Nothobranchius furzeri: one gene and its partners. The protein of the gene in region 1 purifies or fractionates together with the protein of each later gene. This does not show direct contact. Links are inferred from orthologs where the notes say so. Each region holds a gene or a part of one and is shown in the gene's direction. Other genes may lie near its edges.

Region 1 (4,037 bases):
ACAACTTTGTCAGCTATGCAGTGGGAGTCTTGCTGTGTACCAGCGTACCTTCTCTTTTCTCCTTCATTCTGTTGAATCGTTTTCTTAGGGTGTGTGGGAGGGAGATGCACTTTCTTTAGTCGTTCATCCGTCTGTGTATACGCTTGGACTCTTCCCCAGTTTATCCTCAACGACGTTTTTCTTTGCAGTCAGTCCGTCGTGCTTGTAGGCAGCAGTTTCAAGCAGACATTTCCTGACTCCTGTATCTGAAAATACTCCTCAGCATTTGTGCAAGTATCACAACATAGGTGGACACAATATTGTTTTAGAGCTTTTGCTTTAAGAAGCAATCTTGGACTGCAAAAAAAGGTATTTTACTTTGGATTTGTATCTTAGAAAAGCATTTTTAAAATTTGTTTTATTTTTATATTTATCATACTGATAGAATTATTTGCTGTAAACCAAGTTGTGCAAATTAGTTAATTAATTTACCTATTTATTTATTTATTTATAAGTTCATTTATTTGCTTTAGAGTAGTTAACATTTATGAAATTTATTTAGTTTGGGATAAAGTGCATCCAAGTTGTACATTCTCTTAAGATCTTCATAACAAATACAATATTTTCCCAAACATTTTAATTGCTGGAAGAAAATGTATTTCGAATAATTTTACTTGTTAATATATTATGACGATCTTTACTGTGTGGAAATCTCTCTCTCTCTCTCTCTCTCTCTCTCTCTCTCTCTCTCTCTCTCTCTCTCTCTCTCTCTCTCTCTCTCTCTCTCTCTCTCTCTCTCTCTCTCGGTCTTGGTCAACATTTTCAGGAGCTTTACCACTTTTTTACTTGTTTGTTTGATAATGATTATTGTAGCTTAGCACCACAAATCAGAGCTTTTCATGAGTAAATAAGTCAATTTGTTTGTGTATTTGTTGATTAATTTATTCTTCTTTTTTTAACTAATAACAGTTGGTCATGCTGCAGAGGTCCGGCAAGTCTGTTTAGTCTGTTTCAATGTTAAACTTGTGTTGTTTTAAAATGATTTTCAAAGGGGACGATGTATAAATAAGAAGAAATAAGAAATAAAAACAGAAAAAAGTTGATATTTTACCTAAAATGTTTTCATGGATATAAATCTCACTGTTTGTCATCTTAAAACGAAGTATTCGCAAATAAAGCAATTAGTTTTCATCTATTTCTCAGTTTATGGGCCAGTGACTTCATTTCCCAGAAGGCCTTAGGAAGCTCATTACGTATTTAATCTGCGACAAGAGCAGAGCACAACATTAGCTTTAAACGGACAAATAAAATAGCAACAGCGTGTTTAAACAGATTAGTTGTCTTCTGAAGTTTTTTTTCCCCGAGTAAATAATCTCAATTTGAATCTCAGAGGTGAGTTCTAACATTTTAATAAAGCTTCAGGAAACGTTTAGGAGACGTTTGATGCCGCTAGCTAGCTAACAGCGCAGCTGGTGTGTTAACGCGGCTGAGAAAAACATCTTAAAATGTGTTAATTATTATATTTATGTTATGTGTTGCAATTTTACATGTTATTTGAAGAGCTTGAAGTAATGAAATGCCATGCAGCCACTGAAAACGAGACAAAAAGTTGTATACTACCAATAGTATTTCAATGAAATACTGTGTATGAGGTTTAAAATGTATCTTTAGCAAACTATAATTTTAGTTTAATAGCAGTTTCAGGTTTACCGGTTGCACGAGATAATTTTGGTCGTGTATAAATGTTTAGAAATCAGTTAAAATGAGTAATAATGTAAAACATAGTGATTTGCTGTACATTTGTGTTTTCAGCCTTTTGAAATAGTGAATGAGACAGTATTTGGTGTTTTAGAAAAGCAGGTTATCTCTATCTGTGTACATGTATGTGCCAGTGTTTACTTGGTTTCACTAAAATAATGTGATTTAATCCAACGAAATATCAAATTACATATTAAAATTAGATTATTTAGTAGAGGTAACTACTGGCATAAATACGCCTTCTATTAAATTTTTCCAAAGATTAATGAAGTTTTAAATTAAAGAAACAGAAGTATGGAGTTAGTGGAAAAACATGTTCAAAAATCTGAAGATCAGAGCTACAATAAAAATAGATGTTCATCATTAAGATGAGGCTTTTATTACCATTCTTTCTTTTTCTCTGTGTGTGTGTGTGTGTGTGTGTGTGTGTGTGTGTGTGTGTGTGTGTGTGTGTGTGTGTGTGTGTGTGTGTGTGTGTGTGTGTGTGTGTGTGTGTGTGTGTGAAAATGTAGAAGAAAAGTGCTGTTATGAATATACTGTCTAAGATGAGAAGGGGGTGTACACAGACACACACTTTGGTTTGTTTTCATGTATTTATCATCTTCATATTGTTATTTTTATTCGCTGCTCTTTTGCAGATGTCTCTAGCAGACGAGCTCCTGGCTGACCTGGAGGAGGCTGCAGATGAAGGAGAAGAAGGATTGTATCCAGATGAGGAGGAGGGAGACAGTGATGGAGAGGGGATCCAGGGAAGGACACAGGCAGGGCTGGAAGACATTCCAGAGGAGATGGAGGTGGACTACAGTAAAGCTGAAAGCGTTGCGTCCATCGCCAAGCTTCGCAACAGCAAGCAGGTTATCATCTGAGTTTTCTGTGTAGTGAGATGTACAATAAAACATTAGAATCCCACTTAACTGTGTGTGTTTTTAGTTTTCAGACATCATGGACAAAATTTCAGAATATGTGGGAAAGCAACGCAAAAATTCAGACGGTCAGTTTGATTCCTTTGAGTTTCATCAATGCTCAGGCGTCCCTCACAGCATTTAAATCAGCTCGGTGCTGACAAATCTGAAGTGATTGCTGTGTTTGTTTTTAGTCTCTGGTCCTGTTGAGGCTGATCCAGAATACAGGCTGATCGTAGCGGCCAACAACCTTACTGTGGAGATCGACAACGAGCTCAGTGAGTCAGCTGGCTGTTCCGCTGCGAGGAACCGTGACAGAAAAGCGTGAGGAGTAATTCCACACATCTAATTTTTCTATTCCTTTTGTACTTTTAGACATCATTCACAAGTTTACAAGAGACAAATACTCCAAGAGGTTTCCTGAGCTCGAGTCTTTGGTGCCAGATGCTTTAGATTACATTCGCACAGTCAAGGTGAGCTGACGTCTTGATTCTGAATTTCACATTAAAATGTCACCTTTTTGAATATTTGTGTCATTGGTTAAATGTAATAAATATTTTCTGAAGGATTTGTGAAATCACACAATTCTCTGCTGTTTATTTACATTTTTAATTTTATCTCCAAACTTTTTAAACGTAAAACCGGATTAGTTTTTTTTTGTTTGTGTTTGTGTGTGTGTGTGTGTGTGTGTGTGTGTGTGTGTGTGTGTGTGTGTGTGTGTGTGTGTGTGTGTGTGTGTGTGTGTGTGTGTGTGTGTGTGTGTGTGTGTGTGTGTGTGTGTGTGTGTGTGTGTGTGTGCAGATTTAGCAAAACATTCAGTAATATTTGTGTGTTTTTTGTAGGAACTGGGAAACAATCTGGATAAATGTAAAAACAATGAGACCCTGCAGCAAATCCTGACCAATGCAACTATTATGGTTGTCAGTGTCACCGCATCGACCACACAGGGGTGAGTTTTCCTGTCAGAATCCTGTTTGGCGAGTGAACAGCATGAAGTTTTTGAATAATTCAGATGTTAAAGGGGCATTATGGAAGTTTGACAGCCAAAACATGTATAGAAATAATAAATGTCTTCTTCATACATTCTCCTGCAATGCCCTGGTCCTGTAGAATGAGCCCTGGCATTTTTACTGTGATTGCCTGTTTTTCTGTAAAATCACAGAAAAAGAGAGATGCTCGGGTCGAGCAGGCTGCTTCATGCGCGTTCACGCTCAGGCATCGCCCGTAGCATTTGCTATCCGTAGCTTTAGCAGCAGAGAGAGAGGCAGTGCCACTTTGTCGCTGTTCCTAACGCCTAGTGACAAAGCTAGCTACATTTCTGAGGACCCTTAGCTACTTTCTGTAGAACTTTCTTCTAGATATTTCCTGCAAATTAACAACAAAATAGCCATTTTCACT
Region 2 (3,518 bases), about 63 Mb from region 1:
ACAAGGCGCTGCTGGGGTCTGTTAAAGACAGCATCGTTCAGGGCTTCCAGTGGGGCACCAGGGAGGGGCCTCTTTGTGACGAACGTAAGAACCACGCTGAGTTTAGCTGTTGGATGTCAGAATGCTTGTTGATATGGACATACGTAGCTTAATAAATATAAAATGACAGAGTCTTGTGTTTTTTCCTCGCTCTTCAGCCATTAGAAATGTGAAGTTTAAGATCTTGGATGCTGTGATCGCTCAGGAGCCTCTCCACAGAGGAGGAGGTCAGGTTATCCCTACGGCCAGGAGGGTTGTTTACTCTGCTTTCCTCATGGTGAGGCTTGGTTTGATCCATACCTTCTAAATGCTTGCTAGCTTTGATTGAATCATAAATGTGTTCATTAGAACATCGTAATGCTTCTCCGGGTTTTAGTGCTTTAGAGTCTGCTTTGTTCTCCCAGGCCACGCCGAGGCTGATGGAGCCGTATTATTTCGTAGAGGTCCAGGCTCCGGCTGATTGTGTGTCAGCGGTCTACACGGTGCTGGCTCGGAGGAGGTTTGTCTCACGAGGCAAAAACAACAATTCTGACAATTATTTGTTAAAGTTTTAAAAAACTTCTCGTGTGTTTTCCGTCTGTCAGAGGTCACGTCACCCAGGATGCACCTATTCCCGGCTCTCCACTCTACACAATCAAAGCTTTTATCCCAGCCATCGACTCTTTTGGCTTTGAGACTGACCTTCGTACGCACACTCAGGGTCAGGCCTTTGCTCTGTCTGTCTTCCACCACTGGCAGGTGAGATTAAACACGCAACCTGCTTTCTGCGTGTTATCGCTCTGAATTTGATTTCATCAGATTTAGCTGCGATTAAAATTCAAATAGCAGCAGAAATGTGTGGCCTACCAATAAAGTGTGCACCTGAGTGTGACAGTCACTTTGCACCATGAAAAAAATCAATCAATAAATACTTTATTAATCCCAGAGGGAAATTAGAGCGGTAAACAATGTTTTGATCTCTCTGCTGTTGAACTCGTGCGTTTGTGGCAGCTCGTGCTGCGTCGTGGTCGACCTCATGCATGTCTGCCACTCTGGGCAAACTGCTTCTGATCCAAAGGACGGTGGAGTGTTGAGTCATTACTTTTAAAGCGTTATGAGGCTGTTTGTGTCTGCCTGACGTGTGTTTGTGTCTGCACTCTGTTGAGCTGTGTCAGTGAAAATGAACTCCACTTAGGCTAGATTAATATTTCAGCTTAGTGTCTTTAAGCCACGAGCTACGGAAAATATTCCCACGGCACAAATTTAAAGTGATATCGTCTTAACCGTTTTATCCCCTTGAGGTGAAAATAAATGCATCTAACTAGACATTTTAATTATTCACTATATGAATGCTAATCATATGGAGTCGACCAAAATTAATACAACTCTTGACACCTTTGGTTGGTTTGTGTTCAGATACTTTCTACCTGGACTGCACGATATTGGGAAAACCTGCGATATTCGATAATGGTGATTGATATTGCAATGACGATATTACTTGCTATAAATAAAAACTTAACTCGGGAACAAAAATAAAGCAAAGAAATAAAATAAATCATAAAAATGAGAAATGCAAAAGATGTGAGGAAAGGGAAAAGAAAATGATCAAGAAAAGCAGAATCAGCAGAACAAAGCTAACTCAGGTGTTTGCTAACCATTAAAATTAAGTTCCGTCCACCTCGGGGGCGGGAATCTAACCTATGAGAACCCACCCGATTGGCTAAATGGGTGAAGAGCTCTATTTGATTTGTTAAACATCATTCTTCCGTTTGACTGACAGAAGCTTGATGTGAAGCAAACATTTGAGCTGACCATTCATTGCGATATTTTGGTTCTTTGCGATACGCATATTGCTCATGCTGATATCGCGATAACGATATATTTACGATATATTGTGCAGTCCTACTTTCTACAGAATCTTTTTCAAGCTTTTACCAATTCAATACATTTTTAATACATCAGCTTTTCACTACTGGAATATTCCCAGACATAGTTTTATGTAAGCAGCGATATTTAGTTTTTGTTGCTGTGGGGGCCGATTGTTAAGTAATATTGTCAGAATTGCTGGATTTGATCACGTTTAGATTTGGATAATATTAAAATTAAACCAGATAGAAAAATATAAAGATGCTAATCTAAACAAGCAAAGTTAAACGTAAATATTTAAACTGAAAACTAAATGTGTGGAGCTGAATATAAATGTTAAAATATAAAATGTGGTTATCGTATTTGGGTAACGTGCAAATTTAGACTCGCGTGGATGGAAAGTGGCCGACCAAAGAAAAAAAATTCTCTATATTATGGATCATTGTTCCCGTCATGGTTCTGCCGGCGCTTTGGTAAATGAGCCACGGTTGAACTGACGGACAACGTTTTACTGTCGAGGAAGCTTTAGAGACCTTAGACGGGGGTCTCTTCACCCCGCCTTTCGATTGGCCACTTCTATTTTACATCAGTCTGAGTTAGCACGTTAGCTCAATATTTCATAGTTTTTAAGAAAGCTAACTTACCGGAATATCTAAACTTTAACATTAGTGTGGCAAGGTGGACAAACGAGGGCCCAGGCGGGATTTGATCCCCCAGACTCCCGGGTGAGAGTCATACGCTCTAACCAGTCAGCCAAAGGGACATCCCCTTGGCCAAGTAGCCAGGGCGCATGATCTATCGGGACATTGTGACAGGACACTCACACTGTCACATCAGCATTGTAACTTTAAAAATCGACATTTCTACTTGATGTCTGTTTATTTTAGGAGTTCTGTTTGGAGTTGTGTTTAAACGTTTTCAAATAACTTTGTAATTTCCTAAATGAATGCGACGCAAACGTGAGTTCAGGATTCCCACCCCATTTTAATAAGATTTATTTAGTATTTCTTTGCGATTACTTTTACACTTAGTGCCTCATCAATCACCGTTATCATCCGTAACTGTAATTACTGTCCCAACACGACGGATTCAGCTGCTCAGGGTATCCAGAATAGCTCAGAGGTTGGTGTAGTGCACCATTTGGCCACATTTCCTTAATAGTTAGATTTAAATACTCAATGTTATTATGTAATTAGTAGCTCTCACGCTTTGGTTGATTTGGCTGGACCTACTTCACGTACACGCCCACCACCCTGCTAGCAGGTCTCATCTTTCATCTGCGGCTAAATGCAGAACGGGACGATTAATATATGACGCGTTTTGTGAAGGTCATCCTGCAAACTGCCTGGGGTAATGGCTTTAGTGGATCGTTTTAAAGCTCAACCTGCCGACGTTGCATTGTTGCTGTGTTGGTCACATTTGATGGTGTGACGGTGCTTTCACATTTGCACATCTCTCCATCACGCTGATGAACGTTCTGCTGACTCCGTACCAACAGGACAGGCGTTCAGCTGAATCTCATAAAATGAAAATATCCACTCGGCTGGTTGAAAAGTTTCATGTGTTATATGAGAACAAATGTGGTTTCTGTTTGCATCACCTATCTGATCCCCCTTTAAGATTGTGCCTGGTGA
Region 3 (3,518 bases), on another chromosome or scaffold:
CCCCCACAGACTTTTTGCTGTGACCTTCTGTATAGTGATGTTCGTTTGTTTAGGTTTATAAACTACAGCTAGTATTTTTTTTTCACAAAGTGCAAATAAAAAGATCAGCAGGTGCCAGTTTGTTCCACGTAGCAGAGAAAAGGTCTGCTTCAGCAGGCAGTTGGTGCAACCGCTAAACCAAAGTACTTCTGTGTGTTTGTGAGGCTTTTATCTGACGCGTCTCTTTTCTTTATCAGGCGGCTCTGCGTCAAATCACAGACAAAGCCCGTGAGTTTGGAGCTGGTCCCCTGTTCAATCAGATCCTGCCGCTGCTCATGTCGCCTACCTTGGAAGACCAGGAGCGCCACCTGCTGGTGAAAGTTATCGACAGGATTCTCTACAAACTGGATGACCTGGTTCGGCCGTATGTGCACAAGGTGGGTTCACTGCGGAGACGTGCATTTGTCTCTATGGATGTTGGCGCTCTAACCTGAGCTTTTCTCTTCAGATTCTCGTGGTGATTGAGCCTCTGCTCATTGATGAGGACTACTATGCTCGAGTTGAAGGCAGAGAGATCATCTCTAATTTAGCGAAGGTATTGTTTAGCTGCCATTTGCTTTTGTTGATGTAACAGAGAAATGACGCGAACCTTTCTCGCCTGGTTGACCAGTTTGTGGTCTGATCAGGGCTAGTTGTTCGCCAGATTGATACCAACATGAGAGCATGCAGACCTGACCTTAATGCCTAGTCTGTTCTCAACCTGCACCCGTTGGTTACAGTTCCTCTGCAAAGAAGCAGCATCTGTTAAATACTTCAGCATGAGTGCACAGTCATAGTTATAAAGTGTTTGTTCTGCTGACTGATGCTGTGTTTGGGCTTTCAGTGGTAATCAGAGTAACCTGTGAACTTGTTTTTCTCATGTTTTTAAGGCTGCTGGTTTGGCTACAATGATTTCCACAATGCGACCTGATATTGACAACATGGATGAGTATGTCAGAAACACGACTGCTCGAGCCTTCGCGGTGGTGGCCTCGGCTCTTGGTATCCCCTCCCTCCTGCCCTTCCTCAAAGCTGTGTGCAAAAGCAAGAAGTCGTGGCAGGCGCGACACACGGGCATCAAGATAGTACAGCAGATCGCCATCCTGATGGGCTGCGCCATTCTGCCTCATCTGCGTAGCTTGGTGGAGATTATCGAACACGGTCAGTCGGACCCTCATCCACAAATCTTTTAAAGCACCAATCACGTTCTGTTACAGGTGATCGCGTTAAAGCCATGACTCGGTGTGTTTTACACTGAGTAAAAAAGAAAAGGTTTAATCCTTTATAAATGACATTATTATTATTAGTGGGGACGTTCCATCACATTGGGTGAAAAGGATCAGATACAACCTTATAAATCAGCAAGCATAACCTTTTAAACTAACCCTGAGATTTAGGTGAAAGACTGTTGTCAAGCGCCTTGTGAGGTTCTGGAACTCTGTAAATACAGTCCTCTTACCAAAACGGTAACCATAACGATCTGCAGTAGTTTCTGTGGAGGTTAGGGCTGGGGGTAAACGATTATTTTTAAAACGATTATCCTGACGATTTTTTATCGAATAGTCAACTATTCTAGTGACTAGAGCAGGGGTCGACAACCTGTTCCCATCAAAGAGCCATTATTACCCGTTTCCCACAGTAAAGAAAACACTGGGAGCCACAGCAGCCGCGGCGTTGTGGGCGGGGCCTACCCTCAGACAGCAGAGCGCTGCCTTAACCAATCACAACAGGTGACAGCAGTCGGTACCGGTCGCTCGTGTACGTCAAAGTTATCTTTCATAAAAAAGATAATCAATAAAATGATTTATATAAAGTGGATCCAGAAGTTGTAGCCCGTCTCTGCCTACAATATTTTGATATTTTTCACCCTGTTGGTTTTACTGAGCAGGTGCCACTTTTGTCATACGTTTCTTTTTACAACATGTTTAGACTGTTCAGAATACAAATCCAGGCTCTGTCACGTTTGATTGTTGTAATTAAACTTTGTAGGTGGGGAAGGTCAGAAAAGGATCCGATCAGTTTGTTTTTCCCTCATTTACAGCAGCGGAGATAACGACGCAGTGCGCCTGGCTCTGGTGTTAATCAAGTTAAATTATATCTCTTTGCAACAATTTTCACAAGAAAACAAAACAGTTAAAAGCAGGGCTTGTGTTGTGTTGACCGGACAGTTCCCGTATTTGACCGTTTATTTTGACGGAGAAAGAATAGAAAGAATTACCCCGACGCATGCAGACAAACTGACATTTTATTCTACACACATCGCAGATGTAGCTAAATCACTCAAGAAAAGATTCCCATCTGAACATCTGAGCTGGACATTGCTCAGCGCAGCTCACTGTCAGCGCATACGTATGGTACACAGCGAGCTGAAGATGTGGAGAGGGGCTTGGAGCGCGTCGCAGAACCAGAGCGCATGCGTGAAGATTCCTCCCACTGAAGCGAGACTTGTCACTTAGAAAATGTTCCCTGATTATGAAACTTTGGCTGAATAGCGCTTGTTCCTGTCTCCAATGTGGCGACACATCCAGGAGCCTGTCTGAGGAGAATCCCAGAATCTCACATCCTCTTCAGCTCGGAAAGTGCCTATGATTACGCACAAGCGTGACGCGTCAACCCGGTCTCACAGTAAGACTGGGTTGGACCTGTTCAGGTTTACGCAGACAACCTTTACATTTAGAATTAGCTTACAGATGTAAAATTAATGCAGTAAAATATAAAGCATTTTATTTAAATATCCATTCATTATTTTACAAGCATAGAGAGCCGCATCAGATGGATGGAAGAGCCACATGTGGCTCCAGAGCCGCGGGTTGCCGACCCCCGATTTAGACAATTAATCTAGTAATTATTTTCTTATTGCATAATTAATAAAAACAAGAAAATCTCTTAATAAATTCCTCCAAGAAATTGATCAATTGTTACTGTAATAGAATAAACGCTACAGACCTTCCATTTTGTATAACACTGCTTTTATTGTGTTGCGGTTGGTTATGTTCTGGTGACGTGTAGAACTTGGGAATGCAGCCTGCTGCCTGAGAGGTGGTTGGAGAAGGAGTGTCTCCATGCTGCTTTGTTTTGGTCACTTATGTGTGTGAGGCGAGTGGTGTTATGACCCTTCCTGGGGAGTTTGGCTCGTGTGCAAAAAGGAAGGGACAATAGCGGGATTTAAAAGTTAAAATGATGATCAGGGTTCTTTACAACTACAAAAAAACATAAATCTTTCCATCCACAGGTTGGGAATAATAAAACTAATTCTGCCCGTGGGGAATTAAAACAAAAGTACAAATAAGTAGGGATGTCCCACTGGGCAAAGATTACAGGGTTCTGGACCAAAATAAGGATCTGCAAAGGTCCAAACTCTAAACTGGGCGGTTAAACCAAACTCACGGTGATATCTTAAACTAAACCAAAAACCCACAACACTCTAAATGTAATAAAAGGGAGATCTACACCACAAAAACGATGAACTCTAAACCAAAACGTAACGGCTTATCCAAACG

Evidence for each region. The genes of interacting proteins can lie anywhere in the genome.
Region 2: the proteins of prpf31 (region 1) and eftud2 purify together in Homo sapiens (affinity purification with mass spectrometry; 4 studies listed by BioGRID and IntAct, with this or other methods). This does not show direct contact. The link is inferred for Nothobranchius furzeri from reciprocal best matches to the Homo sapiens genes PRPF31 and EFTUD2.
Region 3: the proteins of prpf31 (region 1) and sf3b1 fractionate together in Homo sapiens (co-fractionation; 3 studies listed by BioGRID and IntAct, with this or other methods). This does not show direct contact. The link is inferred for Nothobranchius furzeri from reciprocal best matches to the Homo sapiens genes PRPF31 and SF3B1.

What each region holds. Positions count from the first base shown.
Region 1 is NC_091745.1:76,608,076-76,612,112, reverse strand, and holds the start of prpf31 (U4/U6 small nuclear ribonucleoprotein Prp31), read left to right. Parts: upstream 1-1,231; 5' UTR 1,232-1,371; intron 1,372-2,375; coding exon 2,376-2,591; intron 2,592-2,667; coding exon 2,668-2,728; intron 2,729-2,833; coding exon 2,834-2,917; intron 2,918-3,014; coding exon 3,015-3,112; intron 3,113-3,481; coding exon 3,482-3,588; intron 3,589-4,037. UniProt on the Homo sapiens protein: Involved in pre-mRNA splicing as component of the spliceosome. Required for the assembly of the U4/U5/U6 tri-snRNP complex, one of the building blocks of the spliceosome.
Region 2 is NC_091745.1:13,626,190-13,629,707, reverse strand, and holds part of eftud2 (116 kDa U5 small nuclear ribonucleoprotein component), read left to right. Parts: coding exon 1-84; intron 85-197; coding exon 198-316; intron 317-443; coding exon 444-538; intron 539-623; coding exon 624-777; intron 778-3,504; coding exon 3,505-3,518. UniProt on the Homo sapiens protein: Required for pre-mRNA splicing as component of the spliceosome, including pre-catalytic, catalytic and post-catalytic spliceosomal complexes. Component of the U5 snRNP and the U4/U6-U5 tri-snRNP complex, a building block of the spliceosome.
Region 3 is NC_091754.1:36,036,824-36,040,341, reverse strand, and holds part of sf3b1 (splicing factor 3B subunit 1), read left to right. Parts: intron 1-236; coding exon 237-416; intron 417-487; coding exon 488-574; intron 575-908; coding exon 909-1,179; intron 1,180-3,518. UniProt on the Homo sapiens protein: Component of the 17S U2 SnRNP complex of the spliceosome, a large ribonucleoprotein complex that removes introns from transcribed pre-mRNAs.